Linked DNA regions of Ovis aries. The protein of the gene in region 2 purifies or fractionates together with the protein of the main gene of each other region. This does not show direct contact. Links are inferred from orthologs where the notes say so. Each region holds a gene or a part of one and is shown on either strand. Other genes may lie near its edges. The genes, in order: POLR2G and POLR2M.

Region 1 (11,448 bases), on a different chromosome or scaffold from region 2:
AGCAACAGCTCTTCGGCGTTTTGTTGGGTGTGTAACGGCTCGCTCTACGTTTTAATAAACATGTTCTCGAGGAAACCATCCCCATTCCTTTGTCTACTCCTGAGTTTCAGAGCACTTGCATTTACGCGAGTGTATTGACGCTTTAGACTGGCGTCTGCCTTAGTTTTGCTGCCTGCTTGGTGGGGCTCAACTTAAACTCTCCAACATCCCCTGCCACTTCCCCTTCCCCAAGGTTGAACCTGAATCTCAGTAGGCAGAAGGGTCTTCTCTGCTGGCAGAAGGGTCTTCTGACTGGGCCAAACACACCCCGTGCCAGCTGCAGACTCCAGGGCTCTGCCGATTCGGGCACCCTAGCTCATATTCTCCCCATTTCTGTCCTGTAAGCCCTCACCTACCTCACAAACTTCCTTGACCATTTTACACTGACACACTTCTCTGAACCTGGGCAGTTCTCAGTTGAAAAGCAGTTAGCTTAGTGAGTAAAGCATATTTGGAGTCATAGCAAAAGGAGTTCAAACTCTGATACTGCTTTTGGGCAAATTACCTAACCACATTTACGTATCTACAAAATGGAGTAAGAATACCCATCTCACAAGGTTATTGTATATTAAAAGAGATAATGTAGATTGAGCTTTGGTAGTGAACTTTCACTTACACATCACGAGGCAAACAGTGAATTAATCCCTTTATGTTCATCCAAGATGGGACCATTTGCAATGAGCTATTTATTAAAGGAGCTTTCTGCAGAAGAGCATGAATGTACACAACCTCGCCCTTCCTCCCTCTCAGGGTTAGATGCTGCTGCCTCTAGAAAGGAAGATCCTGAGAGGGGAGCTGAGAAAGCCAGGTGGATGTGGCGTTGCCATAGGAACACTACCTAAGGAGACTGACACCCTGCTGAGATTCCTCCAGTCATACTCAGAATGACATGTTATGTAATCTCAGGACTGTGGTTGGTCCCTGGAGTGTCTGCCCACTTATGCATGAAAGGAAGAGGGGGTTCCTCCGAAGTTCTGAGTCTGAGATCAGATCTCCTGGCTGTCGGCAGGCCTCCTTGCAAAGGTGTTACTGGTAGGGACAGCCTTTGGTCACCTTGGCAGCATGAGACAATGAAGAGAGGAAGGCCCGGAGGCCTGCAGGACGCAGTGAAGCGCCATCCAAGCTGTCTGGGGCTGATCTGCCTCCAGCTTGAGTCAAGGCAGGGGCCAGGGAAAGGAGTAAATACCCTGGCCACAGCTGGGAGAAAGGTGGCTCCCTCTCGCTCCCCAGACACCCAACGCCTGGCAAGAAGAGTTAAGATGGTTTTACACTATTAAAAAAAAAAAAAATACAACTCCACTACTCACTAGCTTTGTGACCTTAAGCATGTTAGTTCATCTATTTTATCATCTGTCAAGTGGGATGACAAAACATTACACTGAACTGTTGAGAAAATTCAATAATGTATGTAAAGGACTGAATATATTACCAGGCACATACTCCTGTCACTATTAAGCCTGTGATCTCTTCAAGAGGTTGTAACTTCCTGAGAATTCCCTGATGATCCAGTGGTTAAGACTCCACACTTAGGGATTTCCCTGGTGGTCCGCTGGCTAAGACTCTGCACTCCCTATGCAGTGGGTCCAGGTTCGATCCCTGGTCAGGGAACTAGATCCCACATGGCGCAATTAAGACCCAGTGCAGCCAAATAAATTAATTTTTTGTTTAAAAGACACCACACCACACTTTCATTGCTGACAGCTCAGGTTAAATCCCTAGCTGGGGAAGACAGCCACTTGCACATACAATCTCTAACACAGAGCAGCAATGCTCTGACATACCATCCAAAGAGGGTTGTATGATCGTATTACAATAAGGAAACATAAGGTCACCCAGCTAGGACTAAAACCCAGTTCTGTATCAACCCAAATACTGTGTCTTCTACTACACAGCTCTGCTTCTTAAGGAAGTCAAGGAAAGCTTAAGAAAACAAAAAATGATAGATTTGATAGATTACTAGGAAACAAGCAGATAGCTTGGGAAAAGACATTCCAAGTTAGGCAAATAGTATTGCCAAGACTCAGCATCGAGGGAGGGTGGTGTGTTTGTTCAATCTTCTTCTGTATATTTTTGTTGTGTTATCCCAATGAGATTATGAGCCCTTTCATATGTTCAGTTAGTATATTAATTGAGTAGCAAACAAAGGCTATTGTTTATGTGCCCATCCTAAGGACTGGGACCCCACAATCTGTATCATTACTGTTCTACTATTCACCTCCCCAACCCTGATGTCTCCTCTTCCCCCTTCCCAGCTACAATCTTGGTTATTTTAAAGGCTTTGAGAAGAGGGCAAATTCTCTGAAACTAGACCGGGGCCCTAGACCAGAGTCGCTCTAAGGATACAACCATTTGCTGAAAATCAAAGACCCAACAAACTCTGGGAGACAGTGGGAAGCCTGGCAAGCAGCAGTCCATGGGGTTGCAAAGAGTCGGACATGATAAGCGACTGTACAACAACGACCCAACGCTACAGCCTTACCTTCAGTGAGGTCAACTTGAGACCTTGGCAAGAGGGTCAGTCAGATCCCCTGGTGGCTGAGGCTAGTTAAGGCATCAGGCCTAGAAAAGAGGGGCTAGCAAGCCACCAGCCCTCCAGCCTTTTCACAAAATGAGTTGTTCTTGCCAAAGAAAGGAGATGACACTTCCATGAAAATCAAGGACCTTTTATGGTTAGAACGCACAGTCAAAAATCTGGGAGTGGTTGCTAAGCCACAAGAAGAGCCAGGTGTCTTCTGAAGGCAAGGAACCCTCCTTGCCTCCCCGACAGCAGCCAGACTGGGCCTCTGGACAACATGGGAAGTGTGACAGTCACACCTCCTAGATAGGGACCCAACAAGGTAGGTCATGGTGCTCAGCTCACAAGCCCTGCCGAAAACAGAAAAAGCACAGTGGTTAGAACCAGAGCTTGGGACAGCCCTAACCATGCACTTCTCATTCCAGGGGGCAAGTGTCCTTGGTCTTCCAAGCAGACAACATGAGAGTTTCTTTCAACAGTGGCTCAGGCATTAAATTCCATATTCACCTCCTGCGCCCACACACCCCTCCTCTAGACAACAACCCTGGAACTCACCCAAGTAATCATCCATCAGGGAGCCGATAGCAAACTGCAGGAGGAAAGGAGAAATGGAAATGAACCCAAAGCAAGCAGAGAGCTCTCCTCTAACCCTCAGCCCCAGACCTTCTGCCCACCCATCTCTTTTTCCGGGCAGAAGAGCACAAAATCCCCAAGAACTCTGAGTAGCAAGAATGCAACAGCTCGGCCTGGTATGAGCAGGGAGGCAGTCAGGAGACTCACGATGTCATTCTTGTCCACACGGGTCCCCACGATCTTCAAGCGGATCTCATCGTCCTGCTGAATCACAATGTCCTGGGGAGGAGGGAACAGTACACTCAGAAACCCCCAGGCCAATACCCTCCCTCAGAGTGGCTCATTCCCCTGGCCCTCTCACCAACTTCTGCCCACTCACCTCATCCATCGTTTTGTAACACGGTGGGTTGGAGTTAGGATCAAATTCCATCTCTGATGGGATGGACTGAAAGGAAGGTCAAACTGGGTAAGAGCACTTGAAAAGGATGCTTCAGTAGATTCTCATGAGTACAGGTCTCCTTCTTAGACCCACCCAGCGTGCCTAGACTTACGTGTCGAGAGATGAAGCAGGACATGGGCCCGATTTCTGTGAAGAGTCCAACCTAGAAGGGAAAAGAGAGACCTTGCTTTTTCTTTTGTCCCCCAGTCTCCTAAGCCTCCCATCTTTATCTGGTTCCTAACAATGTTCTTCATATTCTGAAACCACTCTGAAATTTGTCATGTGTGTGTTTGTTTTTCCAAGCTTTCATTCTAAGCTAAGGAAGTGTAGCAGTAAACAGCTGAGACCTAGAACTTGTCCTTCTGGGTTTTGAACACTTGTTGGACACGTGACCGTGGCCAGAAGACTCAACTTCTCCAAGCTTCAGCGTGGAGATAAAAGCACTCATTTCAGAGTCAGAGGCTTTGCACACTACCTGGTCCACAGTGGAGGCTACTACTGTTCTGACTCACTATTGACTTACATGCCCCTGAGTGAGGCAGTACCATACTATTTGACAGGTGAGGAAACCTGAAGCACAGAGAAGTGATCTGACCAAAGACACAGAATTTGACCAAAGTGGGACCCATCCCAGATCTTCTAAGAGAGGGACCTTCCCACTACCTCCCCTGTGGATGCTCTTACCTTGTTGACCTGAGTTACCACCGCATCCACGACCTCCCCTTTAAAGGGCCGGAAAACAATGGCCTTGTACTTAACTGGATAAAGGACAAAGCCTCGGCCTGGCTGGATCACACCAGCACCGATATTGTCGATGGTGGTGACGGCAATTACAAAGCCATACCTGCAAGGAGGCAGAGAAACTGAGACACTGTGTGTGGAAGAGCCTCTGAAACCATCTGCCACAGCAGGGCTTCCCTGGTGGCCCAGTGGTTAAGAAGTCCCCTGCCAATTCAGGGGACGCAAGTTCAATCCCTGGTCCCCGAAGATTCCACACGCCACAGAACAGCTAAGCCAGTGCGCTGCAACTACTAAGCCCAAGCCCTAGAGCCCGTGTGCCTCAACAAGAGAAGCTACCACAATGAGAAACCCACACACTTCTCATTTCTGCTGCGACTACAGAAAGCTCGTGCAACAACGAAGACCCAACGCAGCCAGGAAAAAAATACAAAAAAGCATCTGCTGCAAGAGTCACGGACCCTAGAGGTAAAGGGGGAGCACAGAGGGGGGAGTAGTCGGCCCCCTGGCCCCAGGAGAGCTTAATGATCAAGAGAGGAGACAGGACAATCAGCAGCAGCTATAATGCCAAACGCTGCTCTCATAATTTCACAATCAGTGTCCAAAAGGGCTGCAGTCCTTAATCTCAACCTTGGCGATGTCTCAGAATCACCTGAGAGAAACATTAAAATGCCTGTTCCCGGGCTGGTCCCCAGTCTTGATGCTGTAGAAATGAGATGAGGCTCAGGAACCTGTATGTTCAAAGAACACCTCAGCTTACTCTGATGCTGGATACCTGAGTACTCTGCGGCCCTGCTCCTCCCCCCTCATTTACTTCACCATGTGCGGAGCGCCTCTGTGCAGAGCCCAGAGATGGTCAAGTCTCACTCCTCTTCCTTCCTCCGGTTAACTCTCAATCTGCCTTATCCTGCCCATTCATTCATTCAACAAGCTTTTAGTGAGGCCCAAGATGTACCATGCCAGGTCCCTGGGTATGAGGGATAAAGAAAGGGCTGACCTCATTTTGTCTTTTTCACTGCATTGTTCCCAGGGCCCAGTCCTGGCACACAGCCGGAGCTTCAGAAATGTTTGCAGAGTTAATGACAAATGTTGGCTGAGGAAAGGCAGTTCTGTTATGGAGCTTCACAGAGGGCACCGTAGGAACCCAAAGCAGGAAGCAGCTAACTGCCTGGAAGGGTGAGAGGGCTTGCCAGGGTAGGTAGCAGAAGCTTTCACGGTGTGTAGGCGCTGGGAAGCGGGTGCAAGCATAGAAAGCCGTGTGCGCAGTGTTTAGGCGGCAGGGAGGGTGCGACACTCACTTGCCGGTGCAGGTCCCCTCCACCTCGGTGAAGAGCTTTTGTTTCACCGTGTTGAGCAAGTTAGGGCCGAAGTATCGCGGGTGCAGCAGAATCTCGTGCTCCAGGGAAATCTGGGGGGAAACTGGAATGGAGTCGGGCAAGGAGCGGGAGGAGTATGAGGCAAGAAGCCGCCCCTAGTCCCGGCCTTCCGCTTGCTCCTCCTCTTGACCCTGCCCTCGCCGCCACCCCGTGCCCTGCTCACGTGGTAAAACATCTTCCCGAAGGAAGCTGAACAGGAGCCGGGTCTACCGCTTCACGAGCAGCGGAGCCGCCACACCGACCGGAAATACAGCAACCTCTCCAACCCCGTTTCCGGGCCTGCCCCGAAAAGTGGGCGGGACTCACAGCCTCCACGGGTCCCCATTGGGCTTCGCTGTCGTGGGTGGGGAAACCCATGAGGCTCCTCCCCTCCGTCCAGCCGTCAAAGCGCCCAACTCCCTTAAGCATAACAGTATCTCGCATAGATTAGATGCTTAATAAATACCTTTAAAAGGAATTAATTAATGAGAGATCGCATAAATAAAGCGCTTTAGCAGAGTCTATTCATTCTGCAAAGAGTTGAAGACTGCTTTCACATAGTAAGCATAGTAAGAAGCTATCCTTATCTCAATTAATCTAAACAGCAACCCTACCCGGCAGGCTTTGTTATTACTTTCATTTACAAATAAGATACCAGGCTCAGAAGGGTGAGGTCACCCAGGGTCGAGATTCAAATTCAACATGCCTGACTCCAAGGCTCTTGCATATTCAGGCATTTATTACCGGGCTCTTGTAGTTTGGAGTTGAAACCGGCCTAGTCAGAGCCCAGAAGGCAGCGCCCCCTCCCGGTGTGAAAAGAACCTCAAGTCACTGCTCTCCTCTAACCACCCTCCCCCGCCCCCTTACACACAAGGGCCTGTAGAACTGGTGAGCAAACTTTACCTGTTCCTTCAGCTCTACCCCCCCCTTTTGCAGATAGTCCCTTTATTAAACTCAGCACAACGAGAATGAGCATGTAGTCTGTGGGCTGCTGAGTCTCGGAAACACCATGAGACCCGCCCCTATGACAAAGGCTCAGCAAGGGCGGCTGGTTCTAAAGCCTCCACAGTCCCTGGGGTCTTGAACAAACTCGCCTGTTGCCTGAGCAAGTTTTAGTATATTGTAAGCAAGAAAGCCTGATTTCCTTAGAGCTGTCACACACCGGTTTCCATTGATGCTGCCCATTTCCTAGAACGATTGAGGTTGTTGGTCAGCTGCTCAGACTCCATGGGGATCCCCTCCACCAGAGACCACATGAGGAAGCAGACAGCAGATCAAAGGGCAGGCCTCAACAGCCTCAACTCCCTCCTTCCCTCTTTTGAAACCAGCCTCCCCGCAAGAGCAATGGTGTGGTGTGCTGGAGACCCTTACAAAAGCCAACTGTTAATATTTCAGGCACTTTGCAAGCCAGTTGTTAAACACAGCAGTTATGAAAAATTTAGTTGTCTTAACTTATGATTAAATGAATTATACTAAAGAAGGCAAAGACGTAGATGAAACAAGTTTAGCAATATATTAATAATCGTTGAAGACAGATGATGGATAATGGTGGTTTCTTACACTTTCTTCTACTTTTCTGCGTTTGAAATTGTTCATAATAAAAAATTTGAAACAAGACAAAAGTAACTGTGATATTTATAATAAAAACACCAACACATATATACTTGGTCTTCTTCCCCATTTCTGTCACAGAACTCCTAAAACCCTTGGAATTGCCTAAATGATAATGATACCTTGATATTCATAACAAACCTCTTTCAGCCACACCTGAGTTTTTATCAGTGAAGTGAATTTTGGAAAGCACCTAAGCCAGGAGAGACAACCAAGTGACTGGAGGGTTGGAACTTTCAGTCTCAACTCCCTGACCCGGCTAATGAACTAATCAACCTTGCCAGTGCGGTGAAAATCTCCATAAAACCAAGTGGATGTGGTTCAGAGAGTCTAGGGTTGGTGAAGACCTGGAGAACTGGGGAGAGTGGTGAGTTCGGATGGAGTATGGGAGGTCCACGCCCTTTTCCCAGTCAGAAACACAGCTGACTGCTGCTCAGTCGCTTCAGTCGTGTCCGACCCTGTGCGACCCCATAGACGGCAGCCCACCAGGCTCCCCCGTCCCTGGGATTCTCCAGGCAAGAATGTTGGAGTGGGTTGCCATTTCCTTCTCCAATGCAGGAAAGTGAAAAGTGAAAGTGAACAGCCTGACTTAAAATTGCCATTGGAAGGGGAGGGCAGCCTTGTAGGGCAGCCTTGTAGAGCTGCGATCTTAACATGTGGAAACCTGTGTTATCTTTGTGCTGATGGTGTCAGAACTGAGTTAAATTGTAGGACACTTATCTGGTGTTTGTGATTTGCTTGGAAGTATGGGAGAAAAAACACACACACATAGTAATTAGAGTCAGAGTCTTAAAACTCTCACTTCCTGTTTAATAGAGTTTACTATTACAAATGCTCTTCAAGTTATTTATACCCATTGTGTCTGTCTGGTGTAAGTGTTATATATAACTGTATATGCAATTACAAGTATAAGAGTTTCAGTTGCTCTGACATCCTCACCAGCACTTGGTGTTGTCAGCACAGTTTGTTTGTTTGCTACCCTAATAACTGATTATAATTGTGGTCGTAATTTTCAGTTCCCTAATGACTAAGGATGTTGAACATCTTTTCATGTGCTTATTTGCCAAGAGTGATATTTTCAAAACTTAAGCCAAATCTTGTCAATCCCCTGCTTAGAACCCAATGGTTTCCCAAGGCACCAGAATAAAACCATCACTCTTACCTACCAGGCAGGGGCCAGATTTAGTCAACTGTATTCTCTGCCTCTCTTCCTTTTGCTTTCTCTCTTGCCACACTGGCCTCCTCTCCCACCTCAGGAGAACTTGTTTCCTCTGCCTAAAATGCTGTTGGCTCTGATTTTCACCTGATGGGGATGTGGGAGCTTCTTCTCATTCTTCAGGTGTAAGCTCAGAGTCACCACTTCCGAGAGGCCTTCCATGGCTACCCTGACTTAAGTAGACAAACCGCAGTCACACTCCTCTATTGTATTGCTTTGTTTTATTTTCGTCACAGAAGTTGGCTCTGTTTGGCATCTTTTTTCCTTTGGCTGTGCTTAGTCTTTGTTGCTTCATGCAGGCTTTCTCTAGTTGCAGCAAGCGGGGGCTACTCTTCATTGCAGTGTGCAGGCTTCTCACTTCAGTGGCTTCTCTTGTGGCAAAGCAAAGGCTCTAGGGCATGTGGGCTCAGTAGTTGTGGCACACAGGCTCAGTTGGCCCAAGGTATGTGGAATCTTCCTAGACTAGGGATCGAACCCAGTGTCCCTTGCATTGCAAGGCAGATTCTTAACCACTGGACCACCAGGAAGCCCCGGCATCATCTTATTAATTTATTCATGTGTATACTGCCTGTTCCTCCTCAAGATGGGCAGGAATTCTTGCTGTTTTGTTCCTCTATATCTCTGAAGCCTAGAAGAGCCCTTGGCGCACAACAGGTACTCGGGATGTATTTGCATCCGTAAGTGAATCTCTAGCACCTAACAGTGTGCTTGGCAAATAATCAAAGTGAAAATCGCTCAGTTGTGTCCAACTCTTTGTGACCCCATGAACTATACAGTCCATGGAATTCTCCAGGCCAGACTACTGGAGTGGGTAGCCATTCCCTTCTCCAGGGATCTTCCCAACCCAAGGATTGAACCCAGGTCTCCTCCTTTGCTGGTGGATTCTTTACCAGCCAATCAACCAGGGAAGCTTTAACAGTGTGCTTGGCAAATAATGGAGTTTAACAACTATGGGTGGACTGAACCCCATTCTTGTATTGAGTGTATTATTATCTCTTCAAGGTCCTTAGGCTTTGCATGGCCATATAAATTCTCCCCTAGCCCTCATATCTTTGCATCCAAAGATTCAGAATTTAGAGATTAAGCTAGAACAGAAAGGAAATAGCAATGGAGAACAATCAGCTGTATTGACATTCGGAATACAAAGAAAGTCTGCTGATGGATTGTTTCATTTAGCTTTTGGTGCACAACAAACAACTCAAAAGCTTAGTGTCTTAAAACAACCACAGTAATTTATTTTTCTCATAAATCTACAATTTGAGCAACACTCAGTGGGGAAGATGTACTCCTGTTCCAGGCAACATGAGCTGGGGCAGTTCAGTTGGGAACTGGAGGATCCACTTCCAAGATGGCTCAGTCACATGGCTGGCAAGTTAGAGCTTGCTGTTAGCCAGGAGCCTGGTTGTGGCTGTGGCTGAAACACTTACAGATACCCTTTCCATGTGGTCTGGTTCTTCACAGAGTGGTGGCTGAGTTCTAAGTGCAAGTACCCCCAAGAGGACCAGGCAGATCTGTCTCTTCTTATGACTTAACTTTGTAAATCACATGACATCACACCGCCCAGACTCAAGGCGAGAGATCTTACAGCGAGGAGCATCAGTGCCAAACTGTAAAAGGAGCATGTGGGAGGGAAGATCTTGTTAAGGCCGCCTTGGAGAACACAATCTTGTGCAAGAATAGGTCTTGCCAACCTGCACAGTAGAGACGAGCCTTTGTGATGATGTCTGCCACCTGATGTCTCCCAAAGCCATGTACACAAGTAGCAGGTCCAGCCCCTGAAGGGCAATCTCTGAGCGAGGACCATCCAGCCCAGCTGCCCCTCCCCCTGGTTCTAGGCTCCTCAGTAGAGAGGGTGACTGGCAGGAAGGCCAGGGGTCTCCAAACGGAGGAAATAGGCTGCAAGTGTCAGACATTTTTTCTCTCTCTCTCAAGTGGCAGGAGGAAACAAACTACAAGTGTTAAGATTTTTTCCCCTTCTCTATAGAAATTTAAAAAGAGCTTTCTCTTAAAATTCTTTGATGCCTTGAGGACACCTGATTCCACCTGAACTTAAATTTTCCCCAACCTTGAGCTAATCAATGTGGTTTTCTTATGGAAATGTTTGTCTTAAGCTATGTTAATGAACCATGTATTTACCATAGACTCTGTCTTCAAGAGTCTTCAACTTGAAAAAAAAAGTCTTCAACTTGGAAGAAAAGTTATGACCAACCTAGACAGCATATTAAAAAGCAGAGATATTACTTTGCCAACAAAGGTCTGTCTAGTCAAGGCTATTTTTTTTCCAGTAGTCACGTACGGATGTGAGAGTTGGACTATAAAGAAAGCTGAGCGCCAAAGAATTGATGCTTTTGAACTGTGGTATTGGAGAAGACTCTTGAGAGTCCCTTGGACAGCAAGGAGATCCAACCAGTCCATCCTAAAGGAAATCAGTCCTGAATATTCATTGGAAGGACTGATGCTGAAGCTGAAACTCCAATACTTTGGCCACCTCATGCGAAGAGCTGACTGGTTGGAAAAGACCCTGATGTCAGGAAAGATTGAAAGCAGGAGAAGGGGATGACAGAGGATGAGATGAGTTGGATGGCATCACCAACTCAGTGGACATGACCTTAAGTAAGCTCTGGGAGTTGGTGATGGATAGGGAAGCCTGGAGTGCTGCAGTCCATGGGGTTGCAAAGAGTCGGACGCAACTGAGAGACTGAACTGAACTGAATTGTCTTCAAGTTGGTTCTGCCTAAGGCTCAAAACTGACTTAACAACAACAAAAAAAAACTGACTTAACAAACCAGTATGTTTTACTCATGCAAATGTTCTCTTAAGCTATGTTCATGAGACTGTATTTGCTTGGAAACCTGCCTTTCTTCAAGATTCATGTCAATCATTTTATGGCCCGGGACAACTCCCCTTGTGCCAATGTTATCTCACAATGCATGATGTGGGTGAGGGGCCTGGTGCCATTCTC
Region 2 (10,853 bases):
TGTACTTCTTGTACATTTTACAAGATTTAAAAGAATGAGGAAGAACTCATACTACCAAACATACCACTGACTAGAATCATACTTATTTAAATAGTGTGGAAAAACTAGAAGGCCTAGGTCCAAGACACACACAGGAATTTAATATTCTATACCAGTACAATGCAGATTTTTTAAAAAACTAAATCTCACCTCATATAATATTCCCAAGTTTGAGATGGATTAAAAATTTCCTTCTGAATTAAAGGTAAGTATAAAAGTGAAATTTTTTAAGGTACTAAAAGAAAATAAGGATCAATCTGTACCCATCCTTGGGGTAGGGAAAGCAGGCCCTAGCACACCTGCACAGGCTTCCCAGGTGGCACTAGCGGTAAAGAATCCACCCACCAACACAAGAGACATGAGACTCAGGTCCAGTCCCTGGGTCAGGAAAATCCCCTGGAGTAGGAAATGGCAACCCACCCCAGTATTCCTGCCTGGGAAATCCAGGGGTGGAACAGCCTGGCGGGCTGCCGTTCATGGAGTCACCAAGAGCTGGACACAGCTGAGCACACACACATACACACAGCACACCTGCAAAGGCAGACCCTAAGAAAAGAACTTCTACACAGAAACACCACCGACTATATTAGAAGGCAAGTCACGTGTTGAAAACAGTAATAACACATGGCAAAATGGACATCTTAATTCATAAAGTAACTTATAAAACAGTAAAATTGGCAAACTCGCCAAGGGAATATAGGAAAGATATGAAGAAGCAATGCTCAAAACAATGAATGAAAATGGTCAATAAACATGACAAGACTCTCAAATCTTCACTTATAATCAAATAAACACATTTTAAAGGAAGCCCTTTTCTGGAATTATTGGCAAATATTTTGAATAGCAACTTGCAATTCTGATAGTTTTATATTGCTAGTGGGAACATTAAGGAAGACAGCCTTTGTGGGGAGTGATGAGTATCAAGTCTCAAAAATTTACTTTCACCTAGCAATTCCTTCTAGAAAGGTACCATTTGGAAATAAGTCACTTTTTTTACAGATGTGACATGTTGATTTTATCATTTCAATTTGCATTATAATGAACACATCGTGAAACAAATTGATGTTAAAAGTTACGGCACACCCATAAAATGGAATATTCTGCAGCTATCTAAAATGTGAAATATTTAGCATGTGGAAATGTTAATGGTATATAGAGCAGAATATTAACCAGTGTATGACTGCATTATTGAAAATATAAATGTATAGATATGCATAGAAAAGTATGCATATGTCCTTGTACCCAAATATTAACAGAGGCCTTCTCTGGGTGGTAGGATTACAGGGGACTACACGTATGTGCATGGGAGCCCTCCCATGATCAGTTTTCCAGGAATAACGTTTATTTATTTTGGTGACTCAGACGGTAAAGAATCTGCCTGCAATGCAGGAGACCCAGGTTCGATCCCTGGGTTGGAAATATCCCCTGGAGAAGGAAATGGCAACCCTTGCCAGTATTCTTGCCTGGAGAATTTCATGGTCAGAGGAGCCTGGTGGGCTACAGTCCTCGAGGTCACAAAGAGTCGGACATAACTGAATGACTATTTTAATAAAGAAGGAGCATCAGATAACTTTAGGATGTGAAATCATTTATAATTAGTTTTAAAAACTAAAAATAACGAAACTGTGCAGGATAGTCCTACATTTGCTTTTTGAGGGAAGGAAAGCAAAAGGGCGATAAAGTTACTCCCAAAAGGACAGGACACAGAACTGAGCGTTCCCTACCACACCTACATCTCCCTAAATGCACTCTAACTCAAATTTCATATATGAAAAGCCTCCTTCAAAGCTAAGTTACATTGAATTAAGCAGCAGTAAAACATCACCATTAGCATTTTCAGGTTGCTCTAATTAATATTTTATTCTTTCAACACTGCTTAAAGGCACCAACATGTTAGACAAAACTCTGACAACATATTTGTTAATTTCTCTGGAGACAACCATATAATCCTTTGAAATTATACATGAAATTGAGATTTCTGCAGCCTACATAAGTCTCTTTTGGGGTGGGGGCGGGGAAGCAATATATTTTGATAACAAACCAATTGTGGCTTTGGAAATTTTTTTGGTTGTCTTATCAAATTGAACCTATCATCTGCTAGAACAATGAAGTCAAGTCAGGCCAAGCCTAACAACAGATAGGGCTTCTCCAGTAGCTCAGCAGTCAAGAATCTGCTTGCAATGGAGGAGATGTAGGAGCCACAGGTTCAGTCCCTGGGTCAAAAGGATCCCCTAGAGAAGGAAATGGCAACCCACACCAGTAATCTTGCCTGGAAAATCCCATAGGCAGAAGACCCTGGCAGGCTACAGTCCATGGGGCCGCAAAAAGCTGGACACAACTGAGCGACTAAACCACCAACAGCTATTCCCTTCACAAACATCAATCACCTTAAGGCTTTTCCTGTTCCTCATGTTACTCCATGACCAGGCAAATCTGGTCATCTAGAGAGACCACCCACCCTCTAGAATTAACTAAAAGTACCGCATATTCCTTATCAGAAGAAAGAAAACATATTTCCTAAGGAAAGACAGAAAGAAACAAATATTTAAGCATTTTCTTTGAGTGTCTTCCTTGGTATTTAATGTCCAGTACTGTAATAGCCCCCATGAAAACATGCACAAAATTATCTAGGCTTCTTCGTTATTCAAAAAAAGAGGGAATTATATCTTCATAATTCATTTTAGGTGATGCCTGGGACAACTAAATAATTCACTAAGACATGTAATAAACATTATTTGGTAGAGGTAAGTATAAAGAAAAAAGCAGTTTAATCACCTGCTTTCATTTGGCTTAGAGAAAAAAATGTGCTTACTATATACTAAAATATCAGACCAACACAGGACATACTGCCAAAATTTAATATAGTGTCATTAAACACAATATTCAAATATTCAACTTTTCAAGGACATGAAAATTATCATCTGAAAGTGGGCTCGTTTTATAGTTTCCTTAGCATAACTTTACAAAATTCTTTCTCTCAACAATGTCTGACACTGATCTCGATACTTGTTAGGCAGTCTGATGTAAGATAATGAGATCTCAACAGGCAGAGATTTGGGAGATGATCTGAACATCCATCTTCAGAGTTCATCCTCGGAGGACTGATCATCATCTTCGTCCCTTACTTCTCGGTATTTCCTTGAAGACTCCCCTTCTGGATTATAGCTCTGCATTTTAATATTTAGTCTTTCAGCTAGCTTCTGTGCTGCGAGCTTGGCTTGTATCTCCTTTAAGACAAAAAAGCAAAAAGTTAGACACTCATACCTTTTCCCTACAATTTTTCAAGGGGAAGTCACTGGAATAGAACCAGTTTCACTGGAAGGGCATGCCCCTTTATTTCTGGGCTCTCTACCGCCCTCTGAGGGAATGAGACACAGTCATCACAGGGCAGGGCTGGAGAGAGCTACCAGCCTGCTACAGCGGTGATCACAGACTTCCACTGATAAACAGTGTGCACTGAGATATCCGACTTCTATGCGAGAAACTGAGCAATCAGCTTGGCACTGCGACAGTTATACACAGGAACCTACTTTCTAGCATGTGGGCAGGCGCACGTGCATAGACAACCCTGAAGAGCAATCTGAGCCATCAACGTCAAAAACCACCAGTGCTGTACTGACCCTCCAACTGGAAGAGTCTTCTTTCCTGGATTAGATTATGGCTTCTAGGCTCGAGAGTGACATTTCAGTGCCACAGTGAAAATCAAAGAATACTAAAAACTGATTATCCCTCACCAAATTAACTCCCATGAAAATTACTATGCAATAAAAAGCCTAAGTAAATCTTAAAGAGCAGCAATGTGCTTGCAGACGCCCAGTGACGGTGTCACTGACTGACTGGCACCGCATGCTCATTCCTCATCTGGCTCACTTTTCTCAGGCTGCCCCCAACCTACTCGAACTCATCTATGTCCCTCCTTCAGGCCACGGGTAGTACAGGTAGGTGGGACTGAAGTGGAATTATTACTGCTCTGCCAAGGAAACCAACTCCAAACTGAACGGTTTAACTCAACCTAAAAATAACTTCACACAGGCATTTAGGGTCAAACAAGGTAAGAAGCAATTCCTCAACCCTTCGTTACAACTAGGCAATAACTTGAATGAACTGAGAGGATGAAAACTAGCTTTTAAAAACGAGTGTCTTGAAAATCCATGCGAACCTAGCTTTTGTGAAAACCAAAGGCCTAGAGTAAATTCTGACTCATGTAAGCAGCGTCCAACATGCAGACAGGAACAAGCCATGCTCTAAATACCTCGTAACTCTGCTTCTGCTGTCTCTGAAGTGCCAGCGACTCCTCTATGGAGAGCAGCTGTGTCGGCAGGTGGTGCAGCGGCAGAAGCCGGGCCGCTGTGATGTCATCAAGATGCTTCCTGTCCCTGCGCCGCCTCTCCTCTGAGGAGACGGGAGACCCTCTCCTCTGACAAGCACTCAAAGAATCATGCGGCTGTGAAGGTAATCTGCAGGAAGCAACCCTTATGTTACACCACCTTTTCACAGACACACATTTGTAGCATTCAACGAAAGTGGTCTTCAACCTTGGCAGCTAACTGTTCTATAAAGGTAATAGTAAGGCCTTTACCACTATTTACATGCACAGATAAAACGTTCCTTTTAAATATATTTACCTCAAAAACAAATATTTAAATTGGCACCTTTTTTGGTAATTTGACAATGCATTCCTCTAACAGATAGCTACACTCATTGCCTCTCCCCTCTCTCCAAATAGTAGAGTGGGTTGTCATTTCCTCCCAGGGGGCTCTTCCCCACCCAGGGATCGAACCCTCATCTCCCACGTCTCCCGCACTGGCAGACAGATTCTTTACTACTGAGCCACCTGGGAAGCCCCCCCAAAAGCTTATACTCGAGCTGAAGCCTATTCTCATTCAAAAACGCCTGCGAAGGGGCTTACTATCTAGCAGAGGGAATTAAATTTGTGAACAGTTTCAGTGTAATGTAGTATCACGGGTACTATGGCACAGGCCCACTGGAACACAGACAAGGGAATGGCCTGTTGTAATGGGAGACAGGATGGCTGGCAGAAACACTTCAAAAAGAGTGCAATCTGAGGAGTCTTGGAATAATAAGGATTCAACATGTAAATGATAGGATCTCTGATGGCATTTCACCAGAGTAAGGACTGATAGGGCTGCAGCTCACAGGAAGCATGGGAGCTGGAGAGTACAGAAAAGGCTGGGGCAGCAGGCTGGGTGCAGGGCACATGGAAGACTTCTAGTCTGCACAACAGGTTCAGGTTTGTACTCTACAAATTGCACTCTGGCAGCAGTGGACAGGAGGGACTGGTAGAATTAAGACTAGGCCAGGACGGAAAACAACTATGGGCCAGGACAGTGATGAGCATCTTCACTTTGACAGGAGAAACGATGAACATAAGGATGATTAGACGAAGGTCCAGGAAATACACTGTGAGGCCCCATGGCTGGCAGAGATGGAAAGGAGGGGAAGAAAGAAGGTGCTGGCACTACTGGCTTAGGGAATATGGGACAAAGTAGTCTGGGAAGAAGTGAGTTCTACTTTGTACAGGACAAATCTTAGGTGCACAGATCACCCCCATGTGGCCAGGTTTCATAGGTAACTGACTCTGCAAATCTGAAGTTCTGGGTAGACTAGGGCTAGAAGAGACGAGGCAGCCCCCCGCATCAGAAGAGCCGGAAGAGCATGCAAGAGGCAGCCAAGGGACACCTGCGTCCCCCGCTACTTCCAACTGTCTACCACCTGGCTCCCCAAAGCCCATCCTCTTCTGATGAGTGCACCTGTCTCTATGGCTCACAAACTTCCCCTGGGAACCTTCACGGATACTCCCTTCCTCTCCTCCCACTTCCAGCTAAAGGACCACAATACAGAATCAGGGTCAGTGTACTCTCTGTTGTATGTATTGACTAGATGATGCTTCTGGTTTTCTGCCTCCTTCAAAGTGAGGAAAGATACCTCACCACACACAAGATGAGTAATTACTTAATCAAAGATTACTTTTTATTCCCAACTAAAAATTAATTCTGGTTTTCTGCTGCTAAGTCACTTCAGTCGTGTCCAACTCTGTGCGACCCCATAGACGGCAGCCCACCAGGCTCCCCTGTCCCTGGGATTCTCCAGGCAAGAACACTGGAGTGGGTTGCCATTTCCTTCTCCAATGCATCAAAGTGAAAGTAGCTCAGTTGTTTCCGACCCTCAGCGACCCCATTAACTGCAGCCTTCCAGGCTCCTCCATCCATGGGATTTTCCAGGCAAGAGTACTGGAGTGGGGTGCCATTGCCTTCTCCACTGGTTTTCTACTCAAAACTATTTGTTCTGGTTTTCTATGCAGAACAAATAGTTTTGAGGTTTAAAAAAATGAATAGTAAGATACAATTGAACTTTAAAGTTTCTATAATAATAAAAAAATTGGTTTAGGTACTTGTAACTACAAGCTTTCAGTTTTTCAAAGAAAAGCAGTAGCGGTTAAACTTTGTATCTGTCGTTGTTTAGCTGCTAGGTTGTGTCAGATGCTTTGCAACCACATGGACCGCAGCCTGCCGGGCTCCTCTGTTCATGAGATTTCCCAGGCAAGAATACTGGAATGGGTTGCCATTTCCTTCTTAGGGGATCTTCCTGACCCAGGGACCGAACCTGCGTCTCCTGCATTGGCAGGTGGATTCTTTACCACTAAGTCACCAAGGAAGCTTCCTGTATCTGATATTAATGTCTTATAAAACTACTCCCTGATAAGAGTGTTATAACTGCACATAAATAAATAATACTCTTTTTGAAGAGATTTTTTTCTGAAGATCTCAGAAATAAAACTATGACAAGGAACTTAGAAGTACAGTTCACTTGCCCCTCCTGCCCAAACTTGTTTTGCTTTTTTAACCCTTTCTCAGCTCCCTTCCTCCTGAAATGATTATATACTTTAATGTTCTTCCAAGTGTGTAAGCCTCGAGTCCTTATCTAGACCCTAAACTCTATGAGGAACAGAATCTTTACTCGTGTGTTGCCACAGCACCTACTGCTTACATACAGTGAGCACACAAATATTTTTTACTGAGAAAGGCCGTTGGTTCCTACAATTGTTTTCCTCTTAGCTTATAGTCTAGTTAGAGGAGGAGCTATGTACAAGAATATGGTTCTGGAAACAATTATAATAAATTCTCTAATTCTATGTTTTATATAAAATTTTGCCTAAGTATCCTGAAGTTTAATGTCCCATCTGCTACTGAAAACCTTTTCAATTACTTGGCTAAAAAAAGAAAGCATTTTCCAGCCAGAATCCTCCACTCCAGCCATGTTCGTTTTACTGCTTCTACAATACGCTCATTCCCAAGTACAAGCAGTTCTCATACCAAGTCCACTGAACTTAATGCAGTCTCCCAGTTTTGGGAGTTTAACAAATATCATGCTCCTGTAACAAGCCTGTTTCTGATGGTACTTACACATTGGTTTTAAATTTATGTGGCGGGGGCATGGGATTTTTGGCTCGCGTTTCCAGCACTTCCATGTAATGAGGCTTCTTCTGGGGCCTACTCCAGAGGCCGGCCAAGTTCTCAGGACTCTGGTTTCCTTCTGAGTGGTGTTCAGTGGGATCCGCAATTGTGATCCTTTGCAATCTATCAATGAACAGGTTGTCTGAGCTGCCAGGATGATCCTCCACTTGACCTAAGGCACAATGCTGAGGGAGACCCTCACTAGCTTCAGATGAGGAAGGTGCTGGGGCTCTGCTGCTAGAAGGTGGGTGCTTGCTCACTGTGTGTTCAGCCTCAGTTGCCTCAGCATCACCTCCGCGAGTCAGATGTTCCAGTCCCTGTTGTCGTGAGGTTGTCTGAGATGATGTGATGTTAGCTACAGACGAACAGCCAGGAACAGGTGATGAAGTATCAAGTATCTGGTCAGAATTCTGGGCCTTATCTCTGCCCCCATCAACAACTGCAATCGCTTTTTGCCTCTCCTTACAGTCTAAGCTAACAGGATAAAAGAGTTCACTTCTTCCTCTAACTTCTTCACGTTCTGCAATGGCAGCTTTCAGTTTGGTGACAGCGTCTGAGATCTTTTTACCTTTGTCGGGCAATTTGCAAATGAATTTTCTACAAAAGGAAAAGAATAGGTATACGTTACATAGAGCCATGTTTTTAAACTTGAGATATACAAAGTAGTATTCTCAAAGGGAGAAAAATCGACCGTTAAGTCAAAAAACTGATTTCCAGCTGCCGGAAATAAGAGAATCATTACCCAAATACCCCTCAAAACAAGGGACTACAGGATGATTAGGGACTATGTCTTGTTTGTCTCATCTATTAACAATTAGAATTTCTGCAGAAGTATTTTAAGCATGATATTAATATAAGACATGCCCCAAATCAGTTTTTAAAGTGTGATTTCCAAGACCTTCCTGGTGAGGGGAGGTGGATGGATCTGCAAGGTCAGAACTATTTATAATAACTAAGGTACTATTTGTCATTTTCACTCTCTTTTCTTACCATGAGTACAGGGGAGTTTTCCAGAGGCAACATGATATGGATGATAGCATTGTTCTGATGGCTAATAGAATGCGTTTTTGTGTTCTTGTGTTTTAAAGATTCTCACTTGTAACTCCTAAGACAATGATAACTATCAGTCGATATAACACACATACAGCAAGAGCTCTTCAAAATGTTCAGTAAGTCTTCAGAGTTAAAGCGGTCCTGAGGCTAAAAAGTTAACTCACTCATTCTCACAGTCAAAATAGTTGTCTCTACCAGGAAATCCCCAAGTGATCATTTGCCACTTTGGCTAAGTGGCAAAAGTTCTTTTTCTGATTTCCTTTTCTTTAGCCATACAATAAATGTGGAGGGAAGGTTACAGCTCACACCCTCTATTCTTTATGACACTACATTCATTCTCCTAATTCTATTAACATTCCTCCCAGTTGAGAGGTCTGTATTTTCCCAACGTTCTCTTCTCTCTCCAGCCTCATGACCACTTCTCCAGCTTTCAATCAAATGTAATTAACTTTTCCATTAACTAAGCTCCAGTAAGTAAAATCAGTGTCAGACTATTACCCTCCTCCAGTTTTCCTACTTTTATTAATGGTGCTCCATACAGGTTGGAAACTTCAGCCATCTCTGTCAACCATATACTCAAATGATCCTAAGCCTGATCTAGTCTCCCCAATCCCACAGCTACCCTTCTAGTTCACTTTTTTAGAATCCCCTTATTGGAGAACTTCTCTGAAAATACCTCCTAGTCTCTTCTGCCTCTTATTCCTTCAAATTTTCCTGCACCAAACTGCTAAAATAAGCTTCCTAAAAAAATCATTATTTTTACACCTATTCTCTGCTAAAATCCATTAAGTCTAACAGCTAAGTGTGAACCAAACTTACTTTGCCTAAGAAGCCACTCTTTTACCCTACTCTTCCCACTTCCTACAGTTCCTGTAAAAAAATGGGATCTAGAGATGAAACTTACTAGGTGTTTGGGGCACTATTTGGCGGAAAGGGAGCGAAAGGACTGGGGATACAGACCCTCCCCTTGGAGGGCCGACACAGGCACTGAGTAAGTAAAATCAAAGAGGAGCTGAAACGCTGGAGAGCCAGAAACACGGGCGCCCGGCGCCCGGGCTGTACGCGGTAGCTCTGTGACTGTAGGCCGGCCACTAGCCCGTGGGCCTGGAACGGACCTAAGACAAGGTGACCTTCCAGGAAAGAGATCGGGATGGGGGCGGGGAGGGGCCCGTCCCAGGGTTCCCAACGCGAGGAACCCTGCGGTGACTTCGCGGGACCCAAGCTTACACGTTGCGCAAAAGTCTCTCCTGGCGCTTCAACATTTCCCGTAGCTCCGCCAAACTCCGCTGCCCCAAGTCCTCGGGAGTTTGGGGCTCGAAGCCGCGGGGAAGCGAGGACATTCTGCGGGGGCTGAGGCTGGCGAGGCGGTGGGCACTCGGCGTCCTCGGCAGCCCCCGTGGCTGGCGCCAGATCCGCGGCCGGCGGGGACTCCGGCGAACGAGCGGGAGTCGCCATTTTCCCGGAAGAACAAGTCTTCTTCTAGCCGAATCGAGCTTTATTGAAACGCCGGAAATAAACACGGACAGAGTTGAGGGAGTGGCGGCCGGGGCGGGAATCGCGGGGTGACGTCACGCGCCGGCGGGGCGCGCTTTCTAGTTGCTTATTCTTCCTGTGCCTTGGGTCTTGGCTTAAGTATTCAGAAAAAGTGAGTTCCTGGGGCCCTGTCCTGAAGGAGTCTGCTGAGTGAGGGAGGAGAGCAGACATTAATCAATTAACAAATGGAAGAATTGTAAGACGGCTATGGGCACCAAGGAAGGAATAACGAAGAAGTGAAAGACACGTGGAAACAGGAGTGATGAATTGGTTAACCATTAGTGAAGCTGGAGTATGTACCGGGCACGTGAAGCCCTGGCCTATGGCGTGGCCTTGCTAGTTCTGGGTTTAGTGAAGACCTCAAACATTAATGTTGGAGGATCATTCAGAACCATCAGCGTTTCTTAAGGCGGCTTTGTGGCATTTGAAGCAAGACTTTTCCTCGTTTTCAGGACTGCCTCAGGTATTGCAAGATATTTGGTGTCTATTTGATGTCTGGGTTTCTGCTCTCTAGTTGGTTTGGCATTCCTGAATCCTCCTAAAAATACAAAACGCACCCCCGCCCCCCGCCGCCCCAACACACACACTCCTGAGTCCTTGTAACAGTACAAAATGCATCTCCCCAACACACACACACACACACACACACACACACACACGATTTCAAAGGCCCACAAGAGGTGATGATAGTAGGAGGTGCTGCACAACAAACGGAGAACCTCTTTTTCACAATTACCCGTTTTGCCCTTGGAA

Evidence for each region.
Region 1: the proteins of POLR2M (region 2) and POLR2G purify together in Homo sapiens (affinity purification with mass spectrometry; 4 studies listed by BioGRID and IntAct, counting the BioPlex papers as one, with this or other methods). This does not show direct contact. The link is inferred for Ovis aries from reciprocal best matches to the Homo sapiens genes POLR2M and POLR2G.

What each region holds. Positions count from the first base shown.
Region 1 is NC_056074.1:37,611,583-37,623,030, reverse strand, and holds POLR2G (DNA-directed RNA polymerase II subunit RPB7), read right to left. Parts: upstream 5,935-11,448; 5' UTR 5,856-5,934; coding exon 5,844-5,855; intron 5,713-5,843; coding exon 5,603-5,712; intron 4,411-5,602; coding exon 4,251-4,410; intron 3,730-4,250; coding exon 3,679-3,729; intron 3,573-3,678; coding exon 3,507-3,572; intron 3,407-3,506; coding exon 3,206-3,406; 3' UTR 3,144-3,205; coding exon of another isoform or gene 3,045-3,143; 3' UTR 2,905-3,044; coding exon of another isoform or gene 2,891-2,904; 3' UTR 2,687-2,890; downstream 1-2,686. UniProt on the Homo sapiens protein: Core component of RNA polymerase II (Pol II), a DNA-dependent RNA polymerase which synthesizes mRNA precursors and many functional non-coding RNAs using the four ribonucleoside triphosphates as substrates.
Region 2 is NC_056060.1:50,692,382-50,703,234, forward strand, and holds the start of POLR2M (protein GRINL1A), read right to left. Parts: upstream 10,042-10,853; 5' UTR 9,908-10,041; coding exon 9,795-9,907; intron 8,112-9,794; coding exon 7,464-8,111; intron 4,497-7,463; coding exon 4,292-4,496; intron 3,267-4,291; coding exon 3,120-3,266; 3' UTR 1-3,119.